2 linked regions of the Diceros bicornis minor genome follow. The protein of the gene in region 1 interacts with the protein of each later gene in a pairwise test. Links are inferred from orthologs where the notes say so. Each region holds a gene or a part of one and is shown in the gene's direction. Other genes may lie near its edges.

Evidence for each region.
Region 2: the proteins of LRP2 (region 1) and MAPK8IP1 interact in a two-hybrid assay, tested with the Homo sapiens proteins (2 studies listed by BioGRID). The link is inferred for Diceros bicornis minor from reciprocal best matches to the Homo sapiens genes LRP2 and MAPK8IP1.

What each region holds. Positions count from the first base shown.
Region 1 is NC_080749.1:51,008,019-51,023,084, reverse strand, and holds the start of LRP2 (low-density lipoprotein receptor-related protein 2), read left to right. Parts: upstream 1-7,834; 5' UTR 7,835-7,996; coding exon 7,997-8,075; intron 8,076-15,066. UniProt on the Homo sapiens protein: Multiligand endocytic receptor. Acts together with CUBN to mediate endocytosis of high-density lipoproteins. Mediates receptor-mediated uptake of polybasic drugs such as aprotinin, aminoglycosides and polymyxin B.
Region 2 is NC_080770.1:24,289,715-24,305,050, reverse strand, and holds the start of MAPK8IP1 (C-Jun-amino-terminal kinase-interacting protein 1), read left to right. Parts: upstream 1-7,615; 5' UTR 7,616-7,673; coding exon 7,674-7,774; intron 7,775-7,782; exon of another isoform or gene 7,783-8,121; intron 8,122-8,503; exon of another isoform or gene 8,504-10,727; intron 10,728-15,336. UniProt on the Homo sapiens protein: The JNK-interacting protein (JIP) group of scaffold proteins selectively mediates JNK signaling by aggregating specific components of the MAPK cascade to form a functional JNK signaling module. Required for JNK activation in response to excitotoxic stress.

The sequences.
Region 1 (15,066 bases):
TCTGTACTCTCTTCGCAATTTTTATGTAAATCTATTCTACAATTAAAAAGTTTATTGAAAAAAGAAGACTGTAAGGTATACAAAGTTTATTGGAGGAGATAGGAATGTAATCAAAGAATTTATACCATGTGTTGAAAATCCTAATGAAGGTAAGTGTATGGTGGGATGGTATTACAGAAAAGAAAGAGGCCTTCTGGGAGGGGTGGAGGAGATTTTACCACAAAGGAGAAAATACTTGAGCTGAGGCTTGAGGAAAAAAATAGCAGTTGGTCAACCAGAGAGAAGAGGGGAAATAAGTACTTTTTTTGTTTAGTTTGCATTTACTTAAACGTCACTGAAGCAGAAGAATGGATGTGCGTCTTCTCCATTTTGAAATTCTTCTTGGCATGCCCCATCTTAATGTCTGTTTCTCTTGACTGGATTCTGATCTACAGAATTATAGTCCTTTGCCCACTGGATTATCAATTTATTAGGAAGATGAAATTAGCAGAAGTGTTTTTTATTTATTTTTTTTGTGAGGAAGATCAGCCTTGAGCTAACATTCATGCCAATCCTCCTCTTTTTGCTGAGGAAGACTGGCCCTGGGGTAACATCTGTGCCCATCTTCCTCCACTTTATGTGGGACGCCGCCACAGCATGGCCTGACAAGCGGTGCATCGGTGCACGCCTGGGATCCGAACCCGGGCTGCGGGGCATGAGCACTTAACTGGTACGCCATGGGGCCGGCCCCCAGAAGTGGTTTTTAAATGGATTTTATGATTCTGTTCTTGATCTAAAGGCCTGAAATCCTTAAAGATTTTGTTGTCACAAACCATTTGATTGTGCTATTTCAGGGTTTCTTGACCTTGAATTAGTGAAATTTGAGGGCAGATAATTCTTTGTTGTGGGGGGTTGTCCTGTTCGTTATAGAATGTTTAGCAGCATCCCTGATCTCTACCCACTGGATGACAGTAGAATCACCCAGTTGCAACAAGCAAAAAAGTCTCCAAATAGCGCCAGACTTCCCCAGGGGACATTAGAGAAATACCGCTCCTTTTCAAACTCAGATTGCAAAGTTAATTGTAGGCCCTAAAGGCACGTATTGCTAAAGAGAAGTTAAAACTCTGAAATACCCTGAGGATGCTTCTCATAGTAAACAAGATCTCAAGATCTCTTCAAAATAAGTTGCAGTTTGTAAGGTCTGATTTGGGTGAAATACCAGAAGCCAAATGCAGAGTTTATGCTGTTTTATTTCATTCATTCATTCATTCTCCAAACACTTATTGAGGTCCTGCCATGTATCAGGATCTATGCTAGGTTCTGAGGATTTGTTGGTGAACAAGACATACCCAGCTCCTTTGACGGGGAGCCTGGTTGAATTCTGGTGCAGGTCCCCAAACCTTTGGACATTGAAGACTCGATTTACGTGTAATGGTGACACTGAAATAATTGTCCTAATTGATTTCACCTGAAGGATCATATATGGATCCTGACTTTATTTATAGGCCTTTTCTTCATGCATATACTACTCCTTATCACATGCCTTTCTTCAACCTCCTGCCCTTTCCCAGTCCCAGAGATAAGAGATGGACCATGGGACTGATGGAATTGTATTGGGTCTTCTGGCTCTCAAGAGTCATTATCCAGTCAGATGTTTTCACTGACCTTTGCCTGCAGAAATTGCTCCTAAGAGAGAGGAATTTAAAAGCAATGAAGCTGACCACTTTGACCCTGCTACCATATTCCTAGCTTTCCTCATGGTGTACTGTGAAGTACCGCTGCACAGGTTCTTAACTCGAGTGTTTGTGGAACTGGCCTGATCAGAACATTTGTGGCTGCCTTAGGCCCACCTGAATCCCAGGGCTTCCTGCCATTGTGTCTTTAAGTCCTAAATTTTTCAGGAAAGTCCTAATTTTATTCAACTTTTTTTCAATCAGTGACACTTGTTAGAGTCCCTGTTGTTTCTTCAAACACCTGCCAAGACTTTTCATATGACTATGTTTGCAAATCAGGAGGATTCCCTTGTCATATTATACCTGGTGTCTGCGTTTTTGGTTTGGAAAACATAGCTGCTGCATTAGTTGTCACTTTACGTCTTGCTGTGTCTTCCTGGCCGTGGCTACCCACCAGGAACATGCAGCTGACTCATGGCTCAGGACCTGGTTCCAAGACTGGCAAGTCGAAAAGTTGTAAAAAAAAGGTGGGGGGGGGCGTTTCTTAAATATAAAGTTCTTTCCTTGTGAATTGCAGTTATTATTATGTCAGAGGTATACTGGGGCTGCCTGGTAGGTGAGATACCTTATGAGGTCTTTTTGGCACTTTTTTGATGGTTTCAGTCCGGCTCTGTTTTGCAAGTGGCAGAGATCCACTCAAGCTCACTCAAGCAAAAGGAGGATTATTGTAAGGATATACTAGGTTAGGAACTAGACCTGGAGCACGATCAGGAATTTAGGCAGCTCCGTGAACTTCTGCCTGTCTCTCCCCTGGGCCTCTTAATCTCATCTTCAAGGCTGGGAAAGCAGACAGTATGTTTGAGGAACCAAGTGGAAGGCCAGTGTGTCTGGACTGTCACATGAGGTTCAAGAGATGGCCAGGGGCTCTAGATCATGCCAGAGCTTGCTAAAAATTTTGGATTTTATTCCAGGAATAATGGGAAAATGATTGAAGTGTTATAACCAAGTGATTGACATGATCAGCTTGACTGCCCCAATTATTCTGGTTGCAGAGGGAGAAGTTTTGAGGAGGCCATGGGAAAACAAGAAGTGTGATAAGAGTTGGGCTGAAGGAAATAAAGAGAGCCATGAGGGCATGTAGAAGGGCCTCCAAAGTGAGTATGGGAGCTTAGGGAAGACTTCCTGGAAGAAGAAATATTTTAGATGAGATTGTAAAGTTAAATAGGAGTTAACCAGATGAAGCGAAGGATTGGGAGGGGAAGAATGTTCTAGACAGAGGGAATAATAGGAGCAAACACTGGGAGACAAGAGAGAAACAATCCTTGTGGAACTTATGATTTAATGCAAAGTTTCTCAAACAAAAAAAGAATCATTTTATTTTAATATAATTTCAAGTTCACTGAAAAGTTGCAAGAATAGTGCAAGAAACTCCCACATACTCTTTGCTTATTTGCTCTCTCTCTGCCTAATACACACACACACATTTTTTCTTCTGAAATATTTGACAATAAATTGCAAAATCATGTTCCTGTACCCCTAAATACTTCAGGCTATATTTCCTAAGAACAAGGACATTCTCTTTCCTAACCAATATCAGACATATTGACATGTCCATATTGAAATGCTTCTGATTTTCCAATAATGTCCTTCAGAGCTATTTTTTTCCCCAGTCCAAGTCCGATCCAAGGCCGTGCATTGAATTTAGTTGTTGTATCTCTAAAAAGTTCCTCAGCCTTTCTTTCTCTTTCATGACCTTGCCATTTTTGAAGAATACAGGTTGGTTATTTTATAGAATGACCTTCAATTTGGGTTTGTCTGATGCTTTGTCATGATTAGATCCAGGTTACGCATTGTTGTCAGTAATATCACCTGGTATCTGTTGTTTTTTCCATATTTCTAGCTTCTGTAATCTTGATGCTTTAACATCTGCCCTGCATGCATATGCTGGACACACCTTGTTCTGGACAACCTGATAATGTGCCTGAGTCACCTTGCCTTGACCTCTGGCCTCCCTCCTCAGGAGTTCTCCCCAGGGAGTGCTTTTCAAACACAGACTAGCCAATCCTAAATCTGTTTACCCTGCCTGCCTGTGTGTTCCCTCAGAAATCACAGAGAAGGTGCTTGCCCACAACCCGCCCCCCTTTCTGTCTCCTAGTGAAGAGTCTGGTGGTGCCCTGTGGGCCCCCAAAGGCGTGACCTGTATTCTTTCTTTTGGGATCTGTGAGTATAATAAACTATCTTTTCACTGATAGTTGTCTCCTGATCTGTTGACCTTACATACCTAAATAATAATAAATCCTATTCAAACATCTGCCAGGTTCTCCACTTATAGTTACTATTTTCTCTTTTCAATTAATAAGTAATTTGTGGGGAGAGATCTCAAACTTTTGTGACTGAGATGCATAATAAGAAATATATTTTACATGGTGAGACAGCATATCTATCCATCTATCTATATCTGAAACAAGAGGGCCGGCCCCGTGGCTTAGAGGTTAAGTGCGGGCGCTCTGCCACTGGCGGCCCGGGTTCGGATCCTGGGCGCGCACCAACGCACCGCTTCTCCTCCCTCAGCCGTGTCCCACACACAGCAACTAGAAGGATGTGCAGCTATGACATACAACTACCTACTGGGGCTTTGGGGGAAAAAATAAATAAATAAATAAAATCATATATCTGAAACAAGAGCTTTGTGAAACAAGTCATATCTTTTCCATATGAAAGTTATTTTAGTTTCTATTCTATTCTATTTCATTTGAAAATAATTTGATAAATTGATTTCATAACCCTCTAATGGGTAATGACCTTTGTTTGATAGCACTAGTCTGATGGAAATATCACTTTGGATCATCTGCTTGCAGAAAGGAAAATAGGTGGATAGATGGGAAGGGGTAAAACTGACAGCAAGGAGCCCATTACAAGGCTCTTGTGATAATTCAGACGAGAGAGGTTGGTGGCTTCTGGGAATGAGGTTGAAAGAAGTGGGTGGGTTTGAGAGAAAAGTGAGTGAAATTGAGGAACTTGAGTTAACAGAATGGGTGTGGGGAAAAGAGAGAGGAGTCAAGAATGACAATTACCGCCTTGGCCTCTGGGGCAGATGATGGTGCCCCTTACTGAGATAAGGAACTCTGAAGGTTTATGGTTCAGGCTCTGTCATGTTGAGTTTGTGGTTTTAGGGACATTGGATTAGAGCTGTCCAGTGAACAGGTGGCTCCAGGGCACTCAGGAGGCAAATCTGGGCTGGATTAATAGCAAACTGAAGTTGGATTTTACTCAAGGAGATTTTACAACTTCATGCCCACTGCAGGAAGCAGAAGTTGGCTCAGGATAGGAACAAATGCTCTGAAAATATTTCCAGTAATTTGGCGTTGAGATGCATAAGTAAAATAATATAGACAAGTCAAAAATATATCAAGGAAGTCAATTAACATAAATTTACTAGAATAAATTTCACTTTTCAGCACTTTCCTGTCTCTTTCGGTTAACTGCTCTGTAAAGTCTTATGTGCATATGTGTAGAGAGATGTGGAAAATAAAGAAATTACACTTTTGCATAATATAAAAACAATGCTGCCTTAAATCACAACTCCATTAACCTGGGCTTTCCCAGATGCTGGTCCTTAGATTTAATCCTCCAAATCTAGCAACGAGAATTCTCAGGTATAGATACGGCAGATAAACACGAGCATGGTGCAGGCTGCAAAAGATGCCTGTTTTCAAGCGGCACGAGTTTCGGGTTGCATTGAGAAAAAGGGGTTTTCTAGTGGAAAAGAGTGTGGATGCGTAAGTTTATATGCATAGTGTTGGGAATGATGGACTGTGCTCCGTTAGTGGTCCCTCATCCCCCATCCCCACCCTTTATCTGCTCCCCTCCCTCCCGTTCTCCCTCCATTCTTTCGGCCTTCTCCGGCGTTATTCTGGGATTAACGGCAGGGTCGGCCCCATACACAAACGCAGCTGGCTCATACGGTCAGCCTGAGCCCTGCTGTGCAACCACGTCAGGAATTCCAGTAAGTTGGCAACACTGGAGCACAAAGACAACAACAATGAGGAAAACCCTTCAGTGCAGAAAGGAATGTTTGGAGCCCCGGCTGCTACAGTGAAAGGACGGACACACACACACACACACACACACACACACACACACACACACACTCCCGCCCGCGCTCACCCTCCCGCATCCCCACGCGCCCACGCGCGCACTGGGAGGCGCGCAGCCCCTCCCGCGCATGCGGTCCCCCTGCCCGCCGGCGGGCCCAGGGGCGCGCCTCGCCAGCGCCCGCCGCCGCTCTTTGTAACTGCGTGGTGCGGAGACGCTCATTGACTATGCAGCGCGGCTCCAGCCGGCGTCGGAGCGGCCTGACCCCGGCGCGGTCTCGTACCATCACCCCGGCCGCCCGGAACCGGCATAAATCACCCGGGGAGACTGAAGTGCAGCTTCTCGCCCCCTCGCCGCTTCCCTCCTCCCACCCGGCTCGTCCCTCTCACTTCCCACCACCGTGCGCCTCGGGTCCCCAATCCTGCCTCCTCCTCCGCGCCGCACAGCGCCAAACACTGTGCAGAGAGGCAAATAGCGTTTCAGTGACTTTGGTCAGATCAGAGAACTCTGGATTTCCAAATCTAGAAATCTCGAAAAGAAAGCCACGAAATATCTCCCACACTTCCTCACAGCCCTGCTCTGTTAAGTCTTAGTTTTCACTTTCTGTGTCTATTTCTCCGTCTCTCTCTTTTTGTTTTTTAAAAGCAATATCTACCCCCCCCAAAGCTTCACCAACCGCTAAAGCCCACCGAAGCTACGCGATCCCGACTGTTGGGGGTAGGCAGAGCCCCAGACGATCCGTGCTCTGCAGAAAAGGGGTGGCATTTACCGGCAGGTTCTCGCCCTGGGGAGGGCGAGGCGGAGGGACCCTGCCCGGGGACTTCGTGGATACAGGGCTGCCGCCTCCACGGTCACGGCCCCTCTGACTGAGGGAAACGGCTCCCAACTCCTGGGACCAGGACCTGGCACCTGGGACCCCGCTGCCGAGTTAGTCCAGGGACCGGGGAGGGAGATTCTGGGGCGACCCCGGGCCCGGAAACATCCTCTCCCAGGGCCAGGCAACAGGATGCACCAACCCTGCTTTTTTTTTTCTGTTGGCTCTGGTGTCACGTACCTGCTGAGGACGAATCTCTGAGGGTGAATGTAAAGTTCACTTGTAGTGCTCTTGGGGGCCAGCTCCCCGCCAGCCTGTCCCAACACTGCCCCAAGGAAGGGAGCTGCGGGGTTCTCTGAACCCCTTACGTTCGTTTCTCCCTCACATAGAGGGGCACCAGCAAGATCAAGACGTTCATTCAAGTTTGCTTCAGAATGAACAGACTTGTAGAAGCGCATTCAAGTTTGCTTCAGAATGAACAGACTTGTAGAAGCGCAATCTGGCCGTGACACCTGTAGATGTGGTACTTAAGAAAAGTAAACAAGGGTCCAATCCCCTCCCCGACATTGATGCAACCCCCTCCATAACTTGCAAAAAACACAGAGCACCCCATCTCAGCGCCTCAACTCTATGGGGGGAAACCAGAGTGTTGGAGGGAGACTGCGGATTTCAGACTAGAGAATGGTCACAACTCTCTCCAGCAGGCTCTTTACTTCTCCCCTTCCCCTGTCTTCCTTTTCTTCCTTTTCTAAGTCTGATTTCTCCGTGGACCGCCTAGCCGACTTATATGCGGAGGATAATCCTGCAGAGGGGCTAGGGCAGCGCAGGACCGCGTGCGAGTGTTTGCATGTGAGTGACTGTGAGAAGTGTGTGTGCCCGTATGAATGAGGGTGTGTAACTGTGAAGTGTGCGTGCATGTGTGTCAGTGTCTGTGCGTGTGACTGGAGTGCGCGCACGCGTGTGTGTGACTGAGGACTGTGCACGCGCGTGAATGAGCGTGTGAGACTGCGTGTCAGTTTGTGTGACACTGAGGAGTGTGTGCGACTGTGTGTGAGGCTGTATGAGTACGTGTGTGGGTGTGCGCGCGTGGAATGTGCATGTGTGAGCGCGGTGTGTTCGAGTCCCCACTCCTCCCTCGCTGCAAAGTGCAGAGGGCGGGCCGGGCGGCAGGGGGCCTGCCCCGCTGGATTCCCGCATGCTAGTTCCGGGGCGGTCGGGTCTAAAGGGCTTTATACACTGTCTGGAGGGTGGGGACTGGCGCGGGTAGAAAACGGGATGCCTCGGGCGCCGGGGCCGGCTCTCCGCCACTAGGAGCCCGGCGAGGCGCGGACCGAAAGGAGCGCTCGCGAGCGGAAGTGGTGCGGGTGCTGTGTGCGACGCGCGCCCACCTCCCAGGGAAGGAACGGCGAGGCCGGGGCCCGGGACTGTCGCGGGGATGGAGCGCGGGGCGGCGGCGGTGGCGTGCACGCTGCTGCTGGCTTTCGCCGCTTGCATGGCGCCGGCCAGTGGTCAAGGTAAGCGCCCGCCGGCTCAAGCTCCGCGCGGAGCGCCTGACTTCCCCTGCCGTGGCAGGGTCGAGTCCGCAGGCGGGCGATGGGGACCGCGGCCCGGCAGGGGCCAGGGCAGGGCGGCAAAGCCGGAGCGGCCCCCCCTGGGGCGCTCAGGTTGCCCAGCGAGGGGCGAGTGGGAGCGCCCCTCCTTCGTCCGCTCGGGAACTGAGCAGCCGCAAACTTGAGAAAGGAGCTCCTCCGGTTTCAGCGACAGCTCACACCACCGGGACCCCATCTTTGTTCCCACGGGAGTTTGTCCCGACCTTCTGGAAAGCGCTTTGCAGTTGGGACCCGGAGAATGAGGTTCTTTCCCCAGTGAGTGCGCAGCCAGCTACCCCCACTGATTTATTCTCTCCGGGGCTGAGCGGTCCTCGGCGCTGCTCGGTGCGCAGTTTTCCACCTGCAGCGCCCCGCCGGGGAGATCCCGTCGCGCGCCCTGGACTGCTGCGGGCTAGAGCCGCCCCCCGCCCCCCTCCTTCTTCACCAGGGAAACTTGGTCCCGCGGTGACCCCCAAGAGACCGCGTCTCGATACAGATCATTTACGAGGCAAGATAAGGCCGGGAGGTGGGATTGGCTGAGAGAGCGGCTGAGGCACTGGAGCATTTTCTTGAAGGGTTTTCCTTTCCATCTGGGAGGTGGGGGCTTTTGTGTTGATGAATGGGGCCCGTCTGCGCGGCCAGAGTTTTGAGGGCTCGAATGAAGAAAGTTTCTGTTATAAAGCGCTTTAAACTTCTCTCAAGTTGTCGGAGAGTTTACCTTTTTACAGAAACAGAGGTAGAGAAAGAGAGGGAGGAAGGAGTGGAGAGAATAAAAACAGTACGAGTCCCCTAAGAGAGAAGACGACGAGCACGTAGAGAGGAAAAGGGAGAGGAGGAGGAGAGAGCGACAGAGCTTGAAGACAGAGTACAGCAGCGCGTGGGGGCGGGGGGGGGTGGAGAGCGAGAGGGAGGGCGAGGGAGAGCGAGAGCGCGCGCGAGAGAAACCGGGGATGAATGGGAAGAGCGAGAGGAGGCCGGGGAAGCGGCGAGCTCTCTCCCTGGCTTTGCGTTGCTAGGTAGCAGCCGGGAGCTGCGTGTGACCGACCACCAGACAGACAGAGCGGACGCTGCTGCCTCCGCGGGGACTAATCTGTCTATGCGGATGGAAGAGTCCCTCCTCCCCCTCTTCCTCTCCCGCTCCTTCCTTCTCGTCGGACAACTTAATTGCCCTACAATGAAAATGAAACCCCTATTGTTGTAGGATTAGCCAAAGCAATAAATTGATTTCCCTGGATCACATATTGGGGTTGACGGGTGGGGACTGTGGAAGCCCCCACTTATGGCGGAGAGAGAGGCGGGCTTGTGGATGGGCCGTGGCGTGTATTCAAATGGTTAATCTGCCTTCTTTCCTCAATTCTTAGCATAAGCTCCTTAGAGGGAATCAACTAAGTAATCATACAGCAACTCCTAGTAGTACCCATTTCAGACTTCCTGGGAAGAAGTTTGGAAACGCCAACATACTCCACTGGTCTTGCAAAAATCGCAGGAAGGGAGGGGAGGCAGGGGGAGACCGTTAATAATTCTTCCTTTGAACACCTTTTCTCAGTGTTGGTAACACAGAAAGAGGATTTATTATTATTGTGGAGGGTTTGCCCCAGTGCTTAGGGTTATATATATCTCGCGTCCTAAATATAGCCATAGGATTTACTATATGTTCCTGTCTGTGCCTGGCAAAAGGAAATCTTGTCCGGATTCATCTGGGATACATCTGGGTTGTCCCCGTACAACCAAAACAGATGTTCTCTCCCCTGGATTGATGGTTTAGTCACCAAATAACCTGTACTTGCTCTTCCTGGTAGTTTACATCTATCCATCTTCCATTCTATAATAATAATAATATATAATAATAATATGTATAGTAACATATCATACACTTATACATGTGGCAGGCCCTGTTCTAAGTACTTTACACTTACTGACTCCTCTAATCTTCATAATGCCCTTTTGTAGTAAGTACTCCTTCTCCCTGTTTTACAGATGAGAAATGGAGGCACAGAGCAATTAAGTAACTTGCCCAAGGTCATACTGCTAGAAAATGGCAGAGTTGTGAGGCAAATCCAAGAGATTCTGACTCCAGAGGCTATAATTTAACTGCTGTAGTGTGTAGCTCTCTCTCTGTTTCTCTGTCTCTCTTCTTTTGTACTAAAAATGTCATGCTCCCTAAGTTACTAACCATGCGTGAGGTTACTAAAGAAGCTGAGGGGCATTTTGCAAGTCTTTGCCACATAAAGTCCAATCCACCTGCTGCTCCATTACTGTGGATATTTTTTCAGAAACTCTTCAAGTTTCTATGACCCAAATCCAAGTATTCTCACTGCCGGTCTTCCTTCTTGATCATTTTTACATATGTGTCCTCTGAATGTCCTTAGCCTGGAAGGTTAAGGAGATTTCTAGATTCTTGTTGTATTGATTCTACTTATCTGATGAAGTAAGTATGATTACAATGGAAATGCCCTTATTTTAGCACCACATTTTAGGTAAGATCTTACTGCAAACTTTGCATCATTAGAATTTGGAAAAGAGTTCTGAGTGTTTTATGGTTAGTCTTTTAAAAAAATTATAGCCTATCTGTAGCTACAAATTATTTGCATTTTCCTCATATTTTGTATACTGCTTTTTAAGAAAAAATTTGAGAGACTGAACTCTGGTGTCAACCTGTCTGGGTTCCAGCATTGGCTTTACCATTTTCTAGCTGTGTGACCTTGAGGAAGTCACTTAACTTTGCATGGCTCAGATTGCTTATCTGCATAATTGGTATGATAATGAAAGAATCTATTCCATGGCATTTTATGAACATAAAGATGTAAAAGTGCTTAGCATGGTGTAAAGCATATAGACCATCATCATAAACTAGCAGCTGTTTTATTATATTGACCAACACAAAGTAACATTCTTTTGCTTACTATTCATATTTCCAGTTTCCAAATTCACATAGGAAAGTCTTTAAGCATTTTCCCTAACGTTTCTTTGAGGAATTCTCAGATCCCAGGATCTGATTTGAAGTTTTTTGAGAAAATATTATTGATCTTAAACAAATTTATAGTCTTTCATCCAGTGCAAGTGTGATTTACTATCAGCTTTTACAACAATTACATCTTCGGGTGAAGTTTATGTGTTTAAAAGGATTGTGGGGCCAATAGGAAACATGCAACATTTGGTTCCATCACGTATCTGATACTTCACTGCTGCTTTTATTTCATAGCAATTGGCTTCTCTTTCTCTGCTTGAAGTTCTTCCTTGCTAGTGTTTAGGGCTTCTGCTTAAACTCCCTTCAGTCATGTGCCTGTCCTGTTTTAACAGAAACTTAGACTTTTACAGCTGGAGAGAACCTTAGATATCAACTGGTCTACTTGCATTATTTTATAGATAAGTAACTAAACCCTGGAGGGAAGGGAGGGAGACTGAAAGGAGTGACAGGGAGGGCCCTTAAGTGCCTTGCTTAAGGGCTTGTGACCTGTGATAGAGCTAAAATCTGAACCCAAGTCTCCTCCTTCAGTCTTTCTACTTGACCATTTTTAGATACATGTCCTTTGAATGCCCCTAGCCTGAGATTTCTAGATTCCTTTTCTGTTGATCCTGAGTTATCAGATGAGGCAAAGTATAATGAAAAGATGACCTTGGTGAATTTTCTTAAAAAATTGGATGGGTCACCTGTCCCAGGACTGCCTAAGAGGAATGCTATGATAGGTTAATACAACCATCTGCCATGTGCTTTCTGCTTGGTCCAGAGTTTATGCCACGTCTTATGCTCCAACTCCCAAAGACCATACTTCTGGCTTCATTTTTCAAAATTTTGGGCCATCAAAGCACATTGCTAAAGATCTCTAACCTACACGACTAGGTTTTTAGTCTTATTCAAGGTAATTATTAGGTCATGGTTAATCATTGTCTGTGTTCTCTAGGAAGGTACTCTGAGAACACTGACAGGTTTTAAAAAATGTTTAATTAAAAATTTTCATCATCATCTTTTAGTAATGATATCAAGAACCTAGATGTATTTCCAGTGTGCCTAGAAGCAAATTGTAATATTGGCTTTGGGGTTTCTGTTAAGTTCTAGTAGCTAGAACAAGGTATGTAGAAAGTAGAGGGTGCTTACAAAGTTTGTTGAATTGAAAGGAAAGGGATTCTAAAGATTGACTGCATGATATAGAACAACCAAAAAGGTACTAATTGTGAAGCTCTATTCTAATATGGGGAAAATGAGTTTGATGGAGCCTTTGTTGGTGTAAGTCAAATGGTTATATCATATCCTATTAACTTTGTGATCTTGAGGAATTTAAAAAAATTGTCACCTCTGTGGCATATTCCACAAACATTTATTAATATTAAGTGTCTACAGTGTGCTAGTGAGTCAGGAGTATCAATATTACAGAAAGGTTAAGGAGGATGAGAACTGAAAGAGGAGTCTAGATTTCACAATTAAAATGGATTGCAACTTAGCATTTACGATTCTGAGACAGTCATTCTATAGTTCTTAATAACACTGGCCAGGATCTCACCAACATTAGAAAGGTTTGACATGTTTCAGCCTCAGAGTTTTGGGCTGCCTCTTTAAAATGATCAGATTGGTAGTTGTTTTGAAATGTTGAGACATTTCTTTGATGCTTCATATGTTCCCTAGGGGTCCACGCAAATGTTTCATAAGCAATTTCTTGACAAGCTCAGCATTGTGAGATGAAGTGGGAAGAGTGAGATTTTGGGGTGAAAGGATCTGGGTTTGAGGCCTGGCTCTGCCTTTTACTATCTGGGAAATTCAGTTCAACATACTCAACTGCTTTGGATCAGTTTTTTTATCTGTAAAATGGGCACATGTTTACCTCATAGGGTAGTTATGCCAATTAAATGAGGCGAGTATGAAATGTTTTACAGACTGTGAAGTCTCATATATATTTCTATCCATTATTATTACTCTTGTTAATAATTTAACTTTTGTGTGGGAGCTGGCCCCGTGGCGTAGCAGTTAAGTACGCGCTCTCCGCTGCTGTTGGCCGGGATTCAGATCCCTGGCGAGTACCGATGCGCTGCTTGTCAAGCCATGCTATGGAGGCGTCCCATATAAAGTGGAGGAAGATGGGCACAGATGTTAGCCCAGAGCTGATCTTCCTCACAAAAAAAAAAAAGAATTTAACTTTTTCCAAACTTGAGGAGAAGAAGATATTGTAGTATCTTGGTATCTTTGTTTTTTTTTTACAAGTGGTCCTTTGAATGATGCACCTGTGCATGTTGAGATCTCATTTTAGTGGCTACAACAACCTTACATACTGGTCTGGACTCATGTTTGTGAATGACAGAAACCTAAGTTAAACTGCCTAAAGCCAAAAAGGAAGTTTATTGAGATACGTAATTGAAAAGATACAGATATGAAGTTGAACCATATGGGATTGCCACTTTTCTGGGTCATAATAAAATATTGGCAATTTCCTTTGGTTCAGCCTAAGATAAAATGGGGGCTCAGCCTGTCATGCTGATCTGGTTTCTTTCTCTGTCTCCTGACTCTGAGATGACTCTGCTCTCAAATGTGTTTTCCTCTAGTGTTATATAAGATGGCTGTCCATGCCTCCTGGAGCTACATCCTTTCATATCATGTCCACTGGGAAAGAGCAAGTGTTTTTGTCTTGTTTGTTCCCGGAAAAAGTCTCAGTTGCATCTCAGGGGCTCTGCCTCGGTCATAAGCTCATTGGAGAACCAGTCACTGTATCCAGGGGCATGAAGTGTGCCCATGGCTTACGCTTGGGTCACATGCTTCATCCCTGAAGTCATGGACTAAGGATATAGCCCAGAGGGAAGTTGGGGTAATGCTACCAGGATAATGGCGAACAGATGCTGGGCTGTTGTCTAGAACACCTTATCAGATAAAACCAACCAAGGTTATTTTCATTTTATATATGAATACAGACTTGAAAAGGCTATAGAAATTTCTCAAGAGCAGGCAGTCTTGGATGACAATGAATTGAAGGGGGAAAAATTATTGGAAACATTATGGCAAAAGACATAGTGCTCTGTGTTCATGTGATCATGTTGCAACTTAAAGTTTAGAAGGAGAACAGGAGAAAGAAGGACTTCTAGAAGGTTTATTTGTAGCCTAAAGGATTCTTATTTGGAGCAGACCTTTGTGATGGACAGGAAGGTTCTGGAAATGAGCTGAGAGATAAGAGTACAGGAGCTCTTGAGTCCATTGTATGGTTTCATTTTTTTTGTAAATCCTAGGCTCTTGCTCCTTTTCCAACTTACTCTGCTCCCTTGTTTATATTCCTAAGACTTTGTCCCTTTTCCAGGCACTAGGCTTTGGCTATAAGATTGAGGTAGAGGGGCCGACCCCGTGGCTTAGCGGTAAAGTGCGTGTGCTCCGGTACTGGCAGCCCGGTTCGGATCCCAGCGCCCACCGATGCACCGCTTCTCCGGCCATGCTGAGGCAGCCTCCCACATACAGCAACTAGAAGGATGTGCAACTATGACATACAACTATCTACTGGGGCTTTGGGGGACAAAAAGGAGGAGGATTGACAATAGATGTTAGCTCAGAGCTGGTCTTCCTCAGCAAAAAGAGGAGGATTGGCATGGATGTTAGCTCAGGGCTGATCTTCCTTACAAAAAAAAAAAAAAGATTGAGGTAGGGAGCAAGAACAGAGAAGAAGGGTTTGGAGACATATTAAGATGTTTCTAGTGGAGACAGTGTTCGTCTCGGTGCAAATCTGCGAGTCCTTAGCATTTAACTAGGGACTTCTTCCATCAGTGGTAGAACAGGTGTCTTTCACACCTCACAGGATTAACTCAGAAATGCCACATATATGCACCTTATGCTGATGGTTATTTTGCTGGTCTTTAATTTAAGTCTTATTTCTAATAGGGTGTGCTGGGAAACTGGAAACATTATCATTCTGAAAGTAAGGTGGTTAACTTTTATATTAGAGTACTT
Region 2 (15,336 bases), on another chromosome or scaffold:
ACAGGCCTTTGGCTAGCTTTGTAGACAAGGACAGGCTGGGTCTTCTAAACCTTGATTTTCTGTGTTTGTGGTTTTGAACACGTCAGAGAGGCACTTGGGTTACTGGGGCTTGTCTGAGGCCAGGACACTGCTCCATCCCTTCATGAGCCTGCTCTCAGCTAAATCGTGCCCGAGTCAACATACGTCTGAACTGTTACCATTATAGTCGCCTGGCTGCACCTCACCCCTTATCTTCCAAGCTTAGGCATTGGTTCTTAACCGTTTTTGGATTAACCACCCTTTGGAGAGTCGAATGAAGGATAGATCCTCTGCCCAGAAAATTGCACCTGTTCACACACACAGAAAAATGTGCTCAGAACTTCAGGGTCTTCGTGGACTGCCCCTTAAGCCTATGCTTGGACCCCTTAAGCATCCAGGGACCCCAGAATAAGAGCCTTGTTCTCGGGAATCTTCAAGCTCTTATCTTCCTCCATCCCTGAAGGTGGAGAAGAGAAGTGGAGGTGTCAGCAGGAGCGCCTGTTGTGGCAGACTCTCCAGTCCAGAAATTTTCAGTTTCAGAAGAATTATCTTCTCTTTGGCTTAACAGTAGGGGCCAGAGAGAGACCTGTGTATAAAACATGTAGCACAGTCAGCATGTTTCAGTAAACACATATACACTTTAGTAACAAATATATTTATTTGTAGTGAAAAAATATGGCTAGGTTATTATAGTACAAGTTTAAAGGGAGAAATTGTTGAACATAATACACATTTTAAAGAGTGAGGCACTCAGTACTGACCCATATGGGTACCCCCTCCTATGGTTGCTCTTTGTTTTACACAGCTTCTAGATAAATGTATCCAGATAAAATCTCCAGGTTTAACATTTGTCTGAAAAGCGTGGCATGTGTCGGAAGAGTGATTTTGAACCCCTGACTCCAATGTCTTGAACTCTTGAGAACATTTTTCCTTTTTTATTAACATCTGAATTTCCATTTATGTTGCTCGGATATTAGTCTTCATGCCACCTTGTTGAATTTCTTTTCGTGTCCTCTAAAAGTCTTAATGAGCAATTATATAACATAGAGATAACTTACTGGTGAAAATACAGGTTTTGGAAACAGACAGACCTGGGTGTCCCTACTTGGCTCCCCCACTGCTGTCGTCTCCGGCAGCTTGCTCACCCTCTGTGGCTTCGGTATTCTCATCTGTAAAAGTGGAGGCCATATCTCCAGGGGTAATGGGACCGCAAGCTGTGTTAGTTAGCTAGAGCAGCCTTAACAAAGTGCCACAGACTGGGTGACTTAGAAATTTATTCTCTCACAGTTCTGGAGGCTGGAAGTCTAAGATCAAGGTGATGCAGGGGTGGTTTCCTCTGAGGCCTCTCTCCTTGGCTTGTAGATGGCCGCATCTCCCTGCCTCTTCACATCGCCTTCCCTCTGTGTGCATCTGTGTCCTAATCTCTTTTTATAAGGACACCAGTCATATGGGAGTAGGGCCCACCCTAATCACCTCATTTTAACTTAATTACCTTTTTAAAGACCGTCTCCAAAAACAGTCACATCCCGAGGCACTGGGGTTAGGACTTCAACATAAGAATCTTGAGGGGACACAGTTCAACCATAACACAGGTGTGCAGTGTCTGACCCACAGTACGCTTGGTAAGCCTTATTATCTGCCTCCCCAACGTCTAAACTGCAGACTTTTAGTGGAGCCCTGCATGTCTGTACCCCCTTAGACACACTAGACCTGTTTCAGCAGGCGACCCAGGACTATGACAGGCTCACTCTGTCCTCTGTTATCAGGCGTGAGGCCATTTCTTCCCTCTGCCCCAGATTCAGTATGTTATAAATCTTTAAAGTGACTCATCCTGTGTCTCCTCTCTCCCCCCTCAATCCTCCAGCACGGTGCCAGAGTTCTTTTATCTATAAGTGGAAATTTGCTCACCTGCTGATTCTCTACTCAGTCACTGCCTTCTTCTTCAAAATTACTGGTCCCGGCTGGCTTCTGTTCCAGCCGTTTTTTTTCTCATTCTCCATCTCCGGCAGCAGCCGCTGGGCCTTGGTTCGGAAACTGCCCTTGTCATATCTGAGCGAGTGTCACCCAAGGCCTCAAGTGAGTCTCCCATGGCCTGCCCCTCCTCCTCTGCTGCCCCCGGCCCTGCGGCAGGGGAGGCCTAGAGGGTCTGCGGGGGAGAGCTTGTCCTGCGGCAGCACCTCAGAGGGGCAGTGTGCAGGCACCCGGTGGCGTCCTGGCAACCAGCCTGTCCCCGGGTACTGTGGCCCGTGCACAGTACTGGCTCTTCCCAGTTCCCAGTCTGAGTGTCCCCAGAGAAGCAGCCAGAGGAGCTTGTGTCCCTGGGCACCTGAGTAGCCTCCTGAACGTTCCTTGTTGTACTCGCTTGTCTCTTTCAGCAGCAGCGCCGTGGCTCCACGAGCAAAGCCTGGGTGCCCGAGCAGCCGCCGTGGCAGCAGAGTGCAACCTGCAGAAAAGCTGATCGCCATCACGACAGAGATGGAGCGAACCTGTGTGCGTGTGTGCGCGTGTGCAGAGGAGGGAGTGCTGTGCCTGTTTGCGTGTGCATGCATCCGTTTACACTCTTGTGACTCTGAACGCTGCCCGGGCCGGAGGAGTCCCTGTAGCAGCTTCACCTCAGCCTCCAGACACCAGGCTAGAGGTCATGGCAGTGACTTTCAGCCCAGACCTGTCGCTGCCAGCCAGCTGCCCTGTCTGAATAGAAGAGCGGTAGGACTCTAGCTGGGATTCTGGCATCTGCCCCCCAGCACTCGCTCCCTCTTCACATCGGACTGGGGAGCAGGAGGACAACATTTCTGGCTCTTGTCCAGAGTGTGGGATTCTAGAGGCAGCCGGAGTCGTGCTGAGTTCCTGCTTCTGACCCTGGAGGCTGGAGTGGACTGATGCTGTTCAGACATAGCCACCTGGCCTGGCTTCTTTCTTATTTTAAAATTCCCCGCCACTGGGTCCTCCAGACCCTTCCTCGGGCATCTGGGACTGAGCACGAGGCTGTAGACAGATCTGAAACTTTCCACCATCATACAGAAGTACACCAGACACCTGACCGGTGTGCCGTATGCACGGTACTATAGATGGTAGCCCAAGAAATACATCTACCATTTTGGGGCTGAAAACCTGAGTTTGGAAATAGAATCCCAGCTCTCACTGTTCCTTCCCCAGAAGCTGAGGGCTAGCCTCTGAGCTGACTGTGGGGACTCGGTGCGTCCTCCAGGAGGAGGCCAGGTTCCTGGTGGTAGAAAGACCCCTGGCTCCTCTGGCCACACTCCAGGGCACCGTAGTGCTGCCGTTGAGGTCAGCTGACTCCCAGCCAGGGAAGCCATTCTAGTCTGTTCTGTAGGCTTCCAGGGCCTGCCTGGAACTGGTCAGCATCCAAGCTGCCACATCAGCTCTCCCAGTAGCTGGACACCAAGTCCCCAGGCAGGTGGATGCGGGTGGGGACTGCCAGGGACAGTTGGGAAAGGTCCAAGTAGAGATCCCACCCAGCGCGCCAACCCTTCCAGAAGCAGCAGGTGGGAGGTTTCACCCAGAGAAGCCAAGGCTTTGCATTCCAGGAGTGGCCTGTGCCTCCCGCCTCAGCCCTTCCACTGTTGGAGGCCTGTGTTGAGAAAGGTGTAATGAAGAGAGGACTGTGGGGTCAGCTGCAGCAAGTCTTCCTTCCATGTTATGGCCTGCACTTGAGCCACAAGTGTGTGTGTGTGTGTGCGCATGCGTGTGTGTGTGCGCGTGTGTGTGTGTGTGTGTGTGTGTGTGTGTGTGTGTGTGTGTGTACGTACAGGTGCGCACCTAGCCGAGAGGCTAATTCCTCTTTGGATTTTGTCCTCACGTGTAACATTAAGCTGGCCTCTGGGCCTTCTCTTCTCTACCTCCCCTGTGGCCTTTCCTAGCCTCACAGCTGTTAACTGCCTGGGCCCCAGCCCTGTCCCTCACTGTCCTCTGTCCTCGGACCAGAACCTGGGGTCAGGCCCCTGTCTCCTGCATCTGTCCAGCACACTGACAGGCTTCTTCCTGAGATGTCCTCAGGTTTTCTCAGCCAGAGAGCTGCCTTTAGAGTCCAACTGTTGTATGTATGTCACCCTCACTAGGAACGTCCCGTGATCGTGTCGGGGGAGCAGGGCACGGGTGATGATGTGTATTTGCAGCCTTGGGTTGGGGGCTGCCCTGTTCCCTTAGCCCCAGGCAGGAGGAAAGAGAATCGGGGGCTGTTGCCAGAAGAGTAGAGCGAGCCTGGAAGGCCTGGTTTGAGAAACAGAAGGGCAGAGAGCTTAGGGCCAGAGTCAGTATTTATTAACAGTACCTTCAAATATCAGGATGATTCCCTTTTCCTGCCTATCCGATGATGGCTCTCTTCCCTAAGGTACAAGTTGGCAGGACCACCTCCCCCTACTTGTGCACCACCCCTGGCATGCTGGTCCATTCCCCGTGGAATGGAAAAATCTGCTCCCAGAGCTGGGAGGGGCCGTGTGAGGAGAGAGTACATCCAGTGGCCTGGACCTCCACAATGGCTTGGTGCCTCCCCTCTCCTGGCCCAGGTATCCCTAAGGGCTGCCACAAAGCATTGCCCCAGATCCCGACCCAAGGGCCAGCATGGGGAAGAGATGGTCGCAGGCAAAATGCACTTTATACAGAGATTTTCTATTGCTGGGAAGGTGTGTTTCTCCCACAGTTTGTTTGAATAGTCACTTGTTTCATAAATGTCTCACCCTGTCTGAGCAAAGCTGTGCTGTCGTCAGTCTTGTGGGAGGGCTGGGGACTGGGAGTCAGTAAGGCTGAGCCACAGTAAGCCTTAGGCTAGGACACCTGGGTTCTGCTGGACCCAGGAGCCTCTCACCCTTCCTTGGAGGTGGCGAGGAGGGGGAAGGGGGGAGATGAAATGGGAGGCTCCTACATGAGCAACTGCAGCAGACCAGAGGCAGCTCCAGAGCTTGGTCAGAGTGGGGGTCCATCAGCCAAAGTGGTACACAGCACCCTGGCCCAGGGTGGGGTTCCTGATGGCTGTCCTGTGCTGACCCGGCCTCTCCGCCCACTTAGACCCCCCAGGCTGGGGATCAGTGGCAGGGCTCTCCAGGCCCTCAATCCATCCTTGCCTCAGCTCAGCCAGGTAAGCTGCAGCTGTGTGTGTGTGAGTGGAGGGAGTACAAGCCCTCTGGCTCTGGTAGGTGGTCGAGACCTGCCCATAGCCAAGCCGAGGTCCTGGATGCTGGCTTTCTCTCATGCCATCTGGCCAGAGAGTGGCCCCTCTGCAGTGTGCATGGGCTTTCCTGTAGGGGTTTCTAGCCTTGGACCACTGGGAGTGAGAGCTTTGTTAGCCCACACCCCAGCTTCCTGTGGGAAGGGGCTCAGGTAAGACCCAAGAATATCACAGGCTGCCCTGCACAGAGTGAGAAAGGGAAGAGGAACTCGAGCCTGGGACTCATCTCCTTTTTCACCCTGCTTTGAAGCTTCTGCTGGCCCCCTTTCCACCAAGACCTGGGCCTAACCTTCCCTCTCCCTTCTCCTGGCTTCTCTCTAATGTGATTTTGGCTTGGCTGTGGGAGCTAAGACACCTTTGTTCTTGAGCAAAAGGTTCTGGAAGATAGAGTTGTCCTACACACACACTCCTGAGCTCCTGAGGATGCTCCCTAGTTGAGACAAGCACACATTCTAAGGAACAGTGATTAGCCACTGTGACAAAACTGCTTTCCTGGGAGGAAAAGCCAGGCACCATAGCAGCAGATGGCTACTGTTTGGGCCTAGTGAAGGGAGCCTGAGCCAAGACAGCAGGAAAGATAAAATGGCCACCCGTCTGGGCCCAGGGGCAGAAAGAAGAGAGGCGGCCAAGGCCTTTGGCTCTAGGTACTGGGCTGTTCTCAGGGCTGGAGCTGGGGGGCTGTTTACTGCAGGACAGGTGCCTGCAGCTGCTCCCTGGGTGCTACATTGAAAGAAAAGGGGGCTGGCGTGACCAGTTGGCAGTTGAGATTTGCAAATAGGATTCTACAAGCTGTGAAACTGTTTACTCTGCCCCTTCTTCAGAGAGAGAGGTGAAGGACAGGGCCTCTGCGGTTCTGTCAGGTGGCCAGAGAAGCCAGTGAGGTTTGGCCAGAGACTCTAGGAGCCACCAAAGCTGGGGCCCTGGCCTTGGCCAACAGCCTGAATGTCTAGCAGTCCACACTCTGAAAAACTCACAAGCTGAACCCTCTGAGGGGAGAGAAGATCAAGAGGAAACCATGGCCCACACCTAGCACGGGCAGAGGTGCTGGAGGAAACAGAAAAACCACCAAAAGAATCCCAAGAAGTCTGGGGCCAGCCCTGTGGCTTAGCGGTTAAGTGCGCGCGCTCCGCTGCTGGTGGCCTGGGTTCGGATCCCGGGTGTGCACCCACGCACCGCTTCTCCGGCCATGCTGAGGTGGTGTGCCACATACAGCAACTAGAGGGATGTGCAGCTATGACATACAACTATCTACTGGGGCTTTGGGGAAAAAGAGGAAGAGGATTGGCAATAGATGTTAGCTCAGAGCCGGTCTTCCTCAGCAAAAAGAGGAGGATTAGCATGGATGTTAGCTCAGGGCTGATCTTCCTCACACACACACGCACACACAAAGAATCCCAAGAAGTCAACTGTGGGGGCAGGAGGAAAGGTCCCAAGTCTTAGAATGTAAGAAGCCAGCTATGGGGTGTCTGTGGGTGCAAAAGAGGGGTGCTTTTCAGGAAATGCAACTGAGGTGCTAAGTGAGAAGAAGGAGTAATCTGGGAAAGTCCCTACATGAGGGAGAAGCTGAGAGACAAGCCAAGAGGGGCTCAGTTCACCATTAGTAGCTGTTTGAGGCTGAAGGGGGGCTTGGCTCAGTCTTTAGAGAAGAGACCCTCTAGGGGAGAGTCCTTGGAAGGGTCCCATCGAGGTAAGGGGACAAGATGGAGTGAGACCTGGATCCCAGAGGGAAGTGGGGTGTCCCAGCCTCCGATGACAACACATTTTACGTTTCATTCTCACAACAAATGTGAGAGGGACCATTATTGTCCCCATTTCACGGATGAGAAAACCAACCTCAGGACTATTAAGTCATTAGTGCAAGGCCACACCACCTATGCACTTGGGGAGCCAGGCTGTGACTTCACACCACCTGACTCCAAACCTGTCTGCTCTAGGACCTGTCCTGACACACTCTCGGCTTCCTCCATGACCCTCCTTTCCTGTGTGCCACCTTTGTCTGCTGCGGGGGGCCAACTAGGGCCCTGGGGACCCGGATCCTGCCAGTAGTTACCTGATACCCAAGCTCTAGGCCCACCCTGAGGGGCCGAGGGGAGTGCTTTGCGGGAGGGGGAAACGAGGCAGAGGAGCAGTGTGGGACTGAGGGCGGGGCGGGGCCAAACCCGGGAGCCGCGACTTCAGCACCTCGGAGAGCGCCGGCGGGGCGGGGCCCGCGGGCCGGGGGCGGGCCGGGGGCGGGGCGCAGAGACGGCGGGGCCCCGGGGCGCGCGGAGGCGCTCGCGCCGGAGCCGAGAGCGGCGCGCGGTCGAGCCGCGCCCTGCCCTGCGCAGGTGCGCCTGCCGCGCCCGCCCCAGCCCGAGCCCCGCGGCGGCGGCGGCCTCTCGCCGCGACCCCGCCTCCTTCCCCGCCGCCGCCGCCGTCGCCGCCGCCTCCGCGCCGCGCTCCGCCCGGATGGCCAGGGCTGTGCCGGAGAATGGCGGAGCGAGAGAGCGGCGGCCTGGGCGGGGGGGCCGCGTCCCCGCCTGCCGCCTCCCCGTTCCTGGGGCTGCACATCGCGTCGCCGCCCAATTTCAGGTGAGAATCCCCGGCCGCCGCGCCGCGCCCCGCCCTTTGGCCCCGACTGATCTGCCCCGGCTCCCCTCCCCCCGGCCCCGACACCCACACCCCAGACCTCGGGAACCGGAGGGCGGCGTGGGGATGGGGTCTCTTCCCCGGACAGAGGCCCCAGAATCCCCCTCAGCCTCCAGTCCAGACTGATCGCCGCCGCGTATCCCTGGTGCAGCTCCCTCCGCCATTCCATGTGCTAGGCTAGAAGATTCTGAGGTGGAATTGGAGGAGGGGGCGCGGAGGCCGCCGTCTTTCCCACTTGGGGGCGGCGGCGGGGCCTGGTGGGGTCTGGAGTGAGATCTCCGAGGAGGCAGGTAGGCTGGGGCTTTGCCTGTGGCCAGTCCGAAGGCTTCTGAATAGAGATGGAAGCAGGCTGGGGTGCCCCGCGGGTCCCAGTTTCTTGGTGCTGGAAGAAGGGAGTCGTGGGCCCTTCCCCCAGCCCTGCCTGGCCAGAGGGGCCTAACTCCCAGGAGCCTCTGTGGATTTGGGCAAGCGCTGACCTGGTCAGGTGTGTGCAGGTGCGGAAGGCTCAGCCTCAACCCGGAGATCCTAGGCCCCCCTGTGGGAGGGGGAGTCTGGTTTGGATGGCCCCGGAGTAGCGAGGAACATGGGGGCCAGGTCCCTGCTGGGGTAAGTACCCAGGACCCTGATCTGAGCTCCCCCTTTACCCCCCTCCTTGAACCTTTCTGATATTAGGTCGTTGGGAAGTGGATTTCAGAGCAGTGGACAATGGATGTTGTGGGGGAAGGTCCTTCCCCCATAATCCTGGCCCCAGTTGGAGAGGAGGAAGAGGAGGGTGTAGCTGCTACAGTACCTAGGAGAAGGAGGCCTAGACGAACCGCATTGTCTCTCCATCTAATGAGCTGGCGCCTTCCCCTCTCCTGGGGCCCCCACCCCAGCCAGGCCCCAGCTGGGCCCTGGCGCCTACCCCTCTTCTGACCAGGGGGTTGCTGGCTCCCTGGCCCTCAGGTGGGCAGGGGCCCCTGGGGATCTCTAATGGCATCATCAGGACTAGAAATCTCCCCGAGGCTCTGAGCTGAGCCGGGAAGACCAGAAGGAGGGGACCAGATGGAGGAGGCCAAGCCTGAAGGCTGGAGGGCTGGGGTCTTTGTGGTTAGTGCCTCAGAGTACCAGGCTGACGTCTGAGACTGACTCCACCTGACATGATACACACTGCCTTCCTACCAGGAGGCCCCTCTGCAGTGGAAAAGCATGGAGCTCAGAGGGACCTGGGTTCAAATCCTGGCTCCACCACTTTCTAGTTGCATGACCTGGGTGATTTTGTCCTCTCTGAGTTCCATCTGTTAGGTAAGCTAATTAATATTGATTCCTTAATGTATATCAAGTCGGTGCTCCACCAGGGTCAGCCCCCGTGTTAGCCGGCATTTATATAGCTCATTACCATTCAAAGCGTTTTCCCAGAGCTGGCTCATTTAACTCTCACAACCACCCTGGGCTGGGTATCGGTCTGCCCATTTTATAGATGAGGAGACTGAGATTCAGAAAGCAGGGGACTTGCCTGAGGAACCCGAGGATGTCAGAGCCTGAGGCTGGACTGGAACCCAAGTCTGTGTGTGTTCAGTCCACTCTACCTCCAGGCCCTGCTTCTGGCCCAGAGGGCAGCTTTGCCCACCCTGCCCCCCCATCCCCACGTGACAGAGGACAGAGCACTCCATCCAGCCCTGCCCCTGGCTGTCAGGTCACCATGGACACGTCAGCAAGAGGAGCTGACGTGGCAGATGCCAGCCAGTGAGTGTATCTGGCCCTGGGCCTGGTGGGCGCAGGTGGCAGTACGCCAAGGCTGTGGTGTGGGCCGGCCCTCCAGGACACCGTGGCCTGGCCGTGGACAAGGCCAGCTTGTGGGAATAATCAGGGCCGTGTCTCCAGCCCCACGTGACCTACCCCGCCTGCCCTGGCAGCCCCCGCTGCCCTTTCCCTGGGCCCAACTTGGTTTAACCCAGGGTGGTTACTGCTCTCTCGTGGCTCTTTGGTGGGGTCGTGGATCTGACTCAGCTGGGTTTGAGTCCTGGCTCGGCCTTCTTAGCCATGTACCAAGACTGGGCACTTGACCTTCTGAGCCTATTTCTTCTCCGTGATGCCGGCTTTAGCACCTGCTCAGGGTAGTCCTAAGACTCGGATGAGAGGGCACATGTTGAGTGTTTCAAGGGCTGTGGAAAGCTGCATTCATACAGGGCTGTTTTTTTAATATTGTTGTTATTATTGTGTGGGTACCCTCAGCACCACTGTCAGCTTCCAAAAGGCATAAGAAGTCAACACCTAAACTTTGGTTTGCCCAATGGCTGGCACAGAGTAGGTGCTCGGTAATGCCTTAGCGGTTTCTTATTTAATGAGGGAGGAACCCGGATGCTGGTGTCCTGGAGTACAGAGAGTAGCAGGGCCTGCTCTCAGGGAAGAACAGTGGGAAGCACTGGCCCTCGGGACCGTCTCTTCCCCAGGCACCACTCTCGGTGCTTTCTGTGCAAGAGCATTTAGTCCTCACCAGAACCGTACAAACAGAGTGTTATTACTATCCCCACTCTACAGATGAAGAAACTGAGGCATAAAGAGGTTAGGGAAGTGGCAGAGCTGGGGTTGGAACGCAGGCAATCTGATTTCAGAGCCACGCTGAAAGGAGGGAGCCCTGGCACACTGGGGGAGACTTTGTGGAGGGGTGACCCAGGCGTGGAGCTGGAGGGGTGTCGAGCGTTCGTCTGTTGGTAGTTGGTTTGAATAAATATGTGTTTGTTTCTGATTATAGAAATGCGCCAACCAGTGACTAGTAGTTCCCTCCGAATATGGTATGAGGGGAGGGATTTTCACTTGTTTTACATACTTCTGTATTATTTGACTTCTTATTTCTATAACAAGCATAGGTTAATTCTGTAACTTACAAAATAATAAAAGAAAATTCCAAACTAAAGTGATACATGTTCATTATAAGGAAAACTCTAGAAAAGAGATTTAGAAACTTATGCAATGAATACATTGAGCTGGGACGGGGGACGACAGGGAGGGACAGTGGGACAGTCCATGGGGGAGGGACAAAGGATGCTCGCAGAAAGTAAAGCGAGCAGCCTGCCCTGGCTGTGTGGAAGAGGAGTTGGGGATGAGAGAGACCTTAGAAATCAGCTCATCCAAACTACTCCCCTCCCCTTTTACTTAGGAGAAGACAAGAGAGAGTGAGTGGCTTCCCTGAGAACACACAGCAAGTCAGTGGCAGAGCTGGGACAGAACCCGGGCCTCATAACTCCCTGGATGGAGTTCTCTGCACCCTACCACACCGCCTCAGGGATGAGAGATGAGGTCACTGAAGAGCGCAGGGACCTCCTTATTCATCTCTTCATGAGGTCGTACGCGCTTGGCTGTTCCTTTATTCACTCAACAAATATATGCACTTTGCCAGGCTCAACAGAGAGACACTCCAGAGGCACAGACATGGGCCTGGCCATGATGCAGGTGACAGTGTAGGAGGGAGACAGACAGACAAGGCCGTACAAGACAGGCTGGTAGGTGTGATGGTGACCCAGGTGAGGGGCCGGGGGAAGCCAGGCCCTGTGCCTCAGGAAGGGTTCATCTCAGCTTGAGAAGAAGTGAAGCAGCATGGTCTGGGGCAAGTGGAGGGCGGGCAGGCAGGAACCCGTAGGCCGTGTTGAGACACTGGCCTGTCCACGAACAAGCAGTGGGAACCAGCAAGGGTTTAGGAGGCAGGGAACGACAGCCTTGGATGCCATCTTGGGATGATCACTCTGGCTGCTGGGTAGAGAGTGGACGGGGAGGCAGGGAGACCACTGGGAGACCGGCCATCCCGCTGGCGAGAAGGAGGGGTGGGGAGGATGTGAGGAAGATTTAGAGGTTGGTTAGCCCACTTGGTGAGGGAGCTGGTGCAAGGGGTAGATAGGGGAGAGACAGGAGTCCAGGCTGACGCTATGCCCCCTGGGGATGGGGTGCCCTGTGGAAGATGAGAGGTTTGGCGAGCAAGGCGGTGAAATCTTTAGGAGACCTGCTGAATCTGAGGCTGGTGATGGTTGGGAGACCCAACTGGAAGACTCAAGCAGGCAGTTGGCTTGGGGTCTGGAGCTCAGAGGAGAGGATTGGCCTGGGGCCAGAGACCCTGGGAGTCTCATCTCAGAGAGAGAGAGAGACAGCCATTGAAGCCTCAGAGGGAACATTGCTACCCAGAGAGACAGCAGAGTGACGGGAGATGGCCAGGGACCAGGCTGAGGAGTGCCAGCCCTGTGATCTGTTCAGCCGGCCATGGTGGGGGGGGTGGGGAACGGAAAAGCTGTTGCTGCCGGAGCTGCCCTCCCCCAGCCTGAAGCCCCGGGCAGCTCCCCCTGGCCCGGGGCCTGATGAACCTCCAGTGTGGGGACAGAGTGTTGACTTGGCCCAGGCAGAATGTCAACCTGTTCTTTGATGTCACAGCCTTAAAGTTGGTCTCTGGATTCTTGGGACTGGGCCACAACCCAGCTATAGCTTGGAGCCCCAGTGGATCCCACAGATTGGGTCACTGCCACCACCCCTTGGAGATTCTTACCTGGTGTGGGTGACATCTCTGTCCCCTGGCCCATTGTATTCATTCAGAAAATCTCTAGGAGCATCAGCCATGGGCCTTGCCTTGTTCTGGCACTGGAGATGCATGTGGTGCTGTCATGGAGCATCCAGTGACAGTCACCCGGCACTTCCTTTAATAGGCATTATTTAGTGCCTGCGATGTACAGGCTTTGTGCGTGGATTAGAGCAGGGGTGGGAAGTCAGTGCCAGAGTGAACGTGGTGGCGTCTGCCCTCAGGAACACAGCCCTGAGAGAGGGCAGGCAGCCCAGAACCAGGACTGGGAGCCTGGCGCTAGGTTGGTGTCACCCAGTTCAGAAAGTTTGTCAAGGAGAGCGGAGGAGCAAAGATCCCCCTGGACCCAACCACATCTCACACCATGGCCGCGTTAGTGCTTCTTCCTGTATGGGGTTCATCATGGGACACCATAAGGTCATATATTCTGTCTTTCTACTCGTTATGTCAGTTGCCATTTTCCACATTAATTCACAGACTTTATGATGTTCATGCAAAGACGGCACAATAGTCCAACCACAGATGGAATTCCATCTACTGGACGGCCACGGTGTAACCGCCCCCTGGTGCTGGGCTCTTTGGCAGTTTTCACTTGTCTGCTGTTATGGGGAATAGGTGTCCTTGTGTATAAAGGTTTTTCCAGGGGCCAGCCTGGTGGCGTTGTGGTTAGGTTCGCACACTACTTCAGCAACCCAGGATTCGCGGATTCAGATCCCGGGCATGGACCTGCGAACCACTTATCAAGTCATGCTGTGGCAGCGTCCCACGTATAAAATAGAGGAAAATGGGCACAGGTGTTACCTCAGGGCCAATCTTCCTCAGGAAAAAAAACAAAAAAGTTTTTCCACTGTGGGAATGTTTTCTCGGGGCAGTTTCCTACAAGTTGAATCGCCAATCCCAGAGTTCTTGTTCCGTCTCAGCGTCAAGGAGTTTAAACTGATCAGATACATTCTAACCCCTTCGTGGGTTGGATTCAGTTTTCACTGGAGGTGACGCCAGTGCGGACATGGTCGGGAAGAGAATTCCAGACCACAGCAACACACCCAGCCTGACACCCAGCGCTAGGAGTGGGATGGAGAGAGGGTTCTGAGGATGAGGCTGGGCTTGGCTCGCCCCTAGCCTGCTTTTCAGCCAGTGCCACCTTCCCAGGGGCCTACACATCCTACCCTAGACTCTGACATAGGTGAGGACACAGGAAGTTAAGTTGAAAGGGGAACTGGCTTCGAGATTCCCAAGGGGAAAATCTAGAAAGAGCTGGGGACACCAGTGGCTCATTCATCCAACAACATTTATGAAGTACCTATTAGGCGCCACACATTGTTGGGCAAGAGAGAGACGATCCTGCCCTCATGGAGCACCTGCCTCTAGGGGGAGCCCACCACTAGTCGCTACAACCCAAAGTCCGGAACTACCCGCCAGAGGGACTAAGAGAGCCAGTGGTAGGACTGTTTGGCCTGGTCAGGGAGGTCAGAGAAGGCTCTGTTGAGGGAGCCTGTGGGGCAGGAGCCTAGAGAGTTGGGGGCGGGGTGGGAGGCCTGGGAGGGCGAAGACACAGGCTAGAGGGGATGGGAGGCCCTTCAGGCCACAGGTGAGAATTTTAGCCTCTTTCCCTAAGGGCCAGGGGAAGCTATTGAAGGTTCTGAGCTGGGGACGGGTGACAAGCCCAGATTTGCATTTCAAATGTGGGTTTTGGTTGCCCAGTGGAGAATGGCCTGTAGGGGAACCTGCTTAGAGAGGAGCAGCCGATCCACAGGTGTCCTGAGAACCCACTGGGAGCCAGCTCTGCTTAGCACTACGAGGGCAGCAGAGAGACAGGCTGGACCCTTGGACCGTAGATGCTCTCTGTCACAAGAAGGGCCCGTGGGGCACTGTGGCTGGGACCCAAGGTCACTCAGCTGGCATCCTCACCTCACTCCAGGAAGCCCAGGAACAGGAAGGAGAGAATGGCCTCCCCCACGGCCAAATGCCTGGCTCCGATTTGGCCTTGCTCAGCTAAAGCCTCAGCACTTTACCACTTAACCCTTACTCTGCGTACACTTCTAGCTCAGCCCCGGGTTGAAACAGCAAATTAGAAAGGGCTGGGACCGCTGTAGGCGGTGCGGGGGTAACAGGGAGATGTGCCAGCACGTGGCCAGGGAGAGGCCATGAAATCAACATCAGAACACAAAAGGCACGTTTGTTCACTGAGAGCTCAGCTCGGGAAGGGGTGGGGGCCCCAGAGGATGGCATGTTCAGAATGCAGTGAGCAGCCCGCTTGGCCAGAAGACAGGACTGGGGCACTGGAGTAGGAGGAGACAAGGAGATGCAGGAGGAGGGGGCCTCGAATATAAAGATAGACCCCAAAGTTCAGGGAGGTCTCAAGAGACCAAACTCATGACAGAGTCACCAAATGTTAATATGGATGACACCTCGGGACCCATGACACCCGAATGGGCAAAGGGCAAGCACTACCCATTGATCGGCAGTGATCCCTCCAAAGGGAAGTTGCTGAGTCTCCAGATCTAGAGGTGAGGGATGCTGGCCTGGGAGGGTTGTGTGATTCAGCTGGAGGTGTCCTCCTGGTGCTCAGGGCTCAGGTTTCCCAGAAGATGGATGGGCGGGGTCAGGAAGGAACCCCCCTCCCTCCTTCCTTCCCTCCTGCCCTCCATCTTTTCCCTCCTCCCCTTCCTCCCCACAGTTGCCTTCCCTGAGCCTGGCGGGACCAAGGGTCTGTTTAGCCCTGCCTCTACACAGGGTCTCTGGGGGCTTTAGCTGGGAGACCCAGAACATCCGGTGCCTGGAGAAGCGAGAGGAGAGAGCAGGGTCGGGCCAGGAGGGGGTAACTTGCACAGGGGACTCCTTGACCAGTCCACCCCCTTGATCCTTGGTCGTGACCTCCTGACAGCACTCTGCAATTCACAAACACTCCGCTCTGCTAGTCTCCCCAGCAACCTTGAGGTGGGTGGGCAGGTATGGGTGGCCTCAT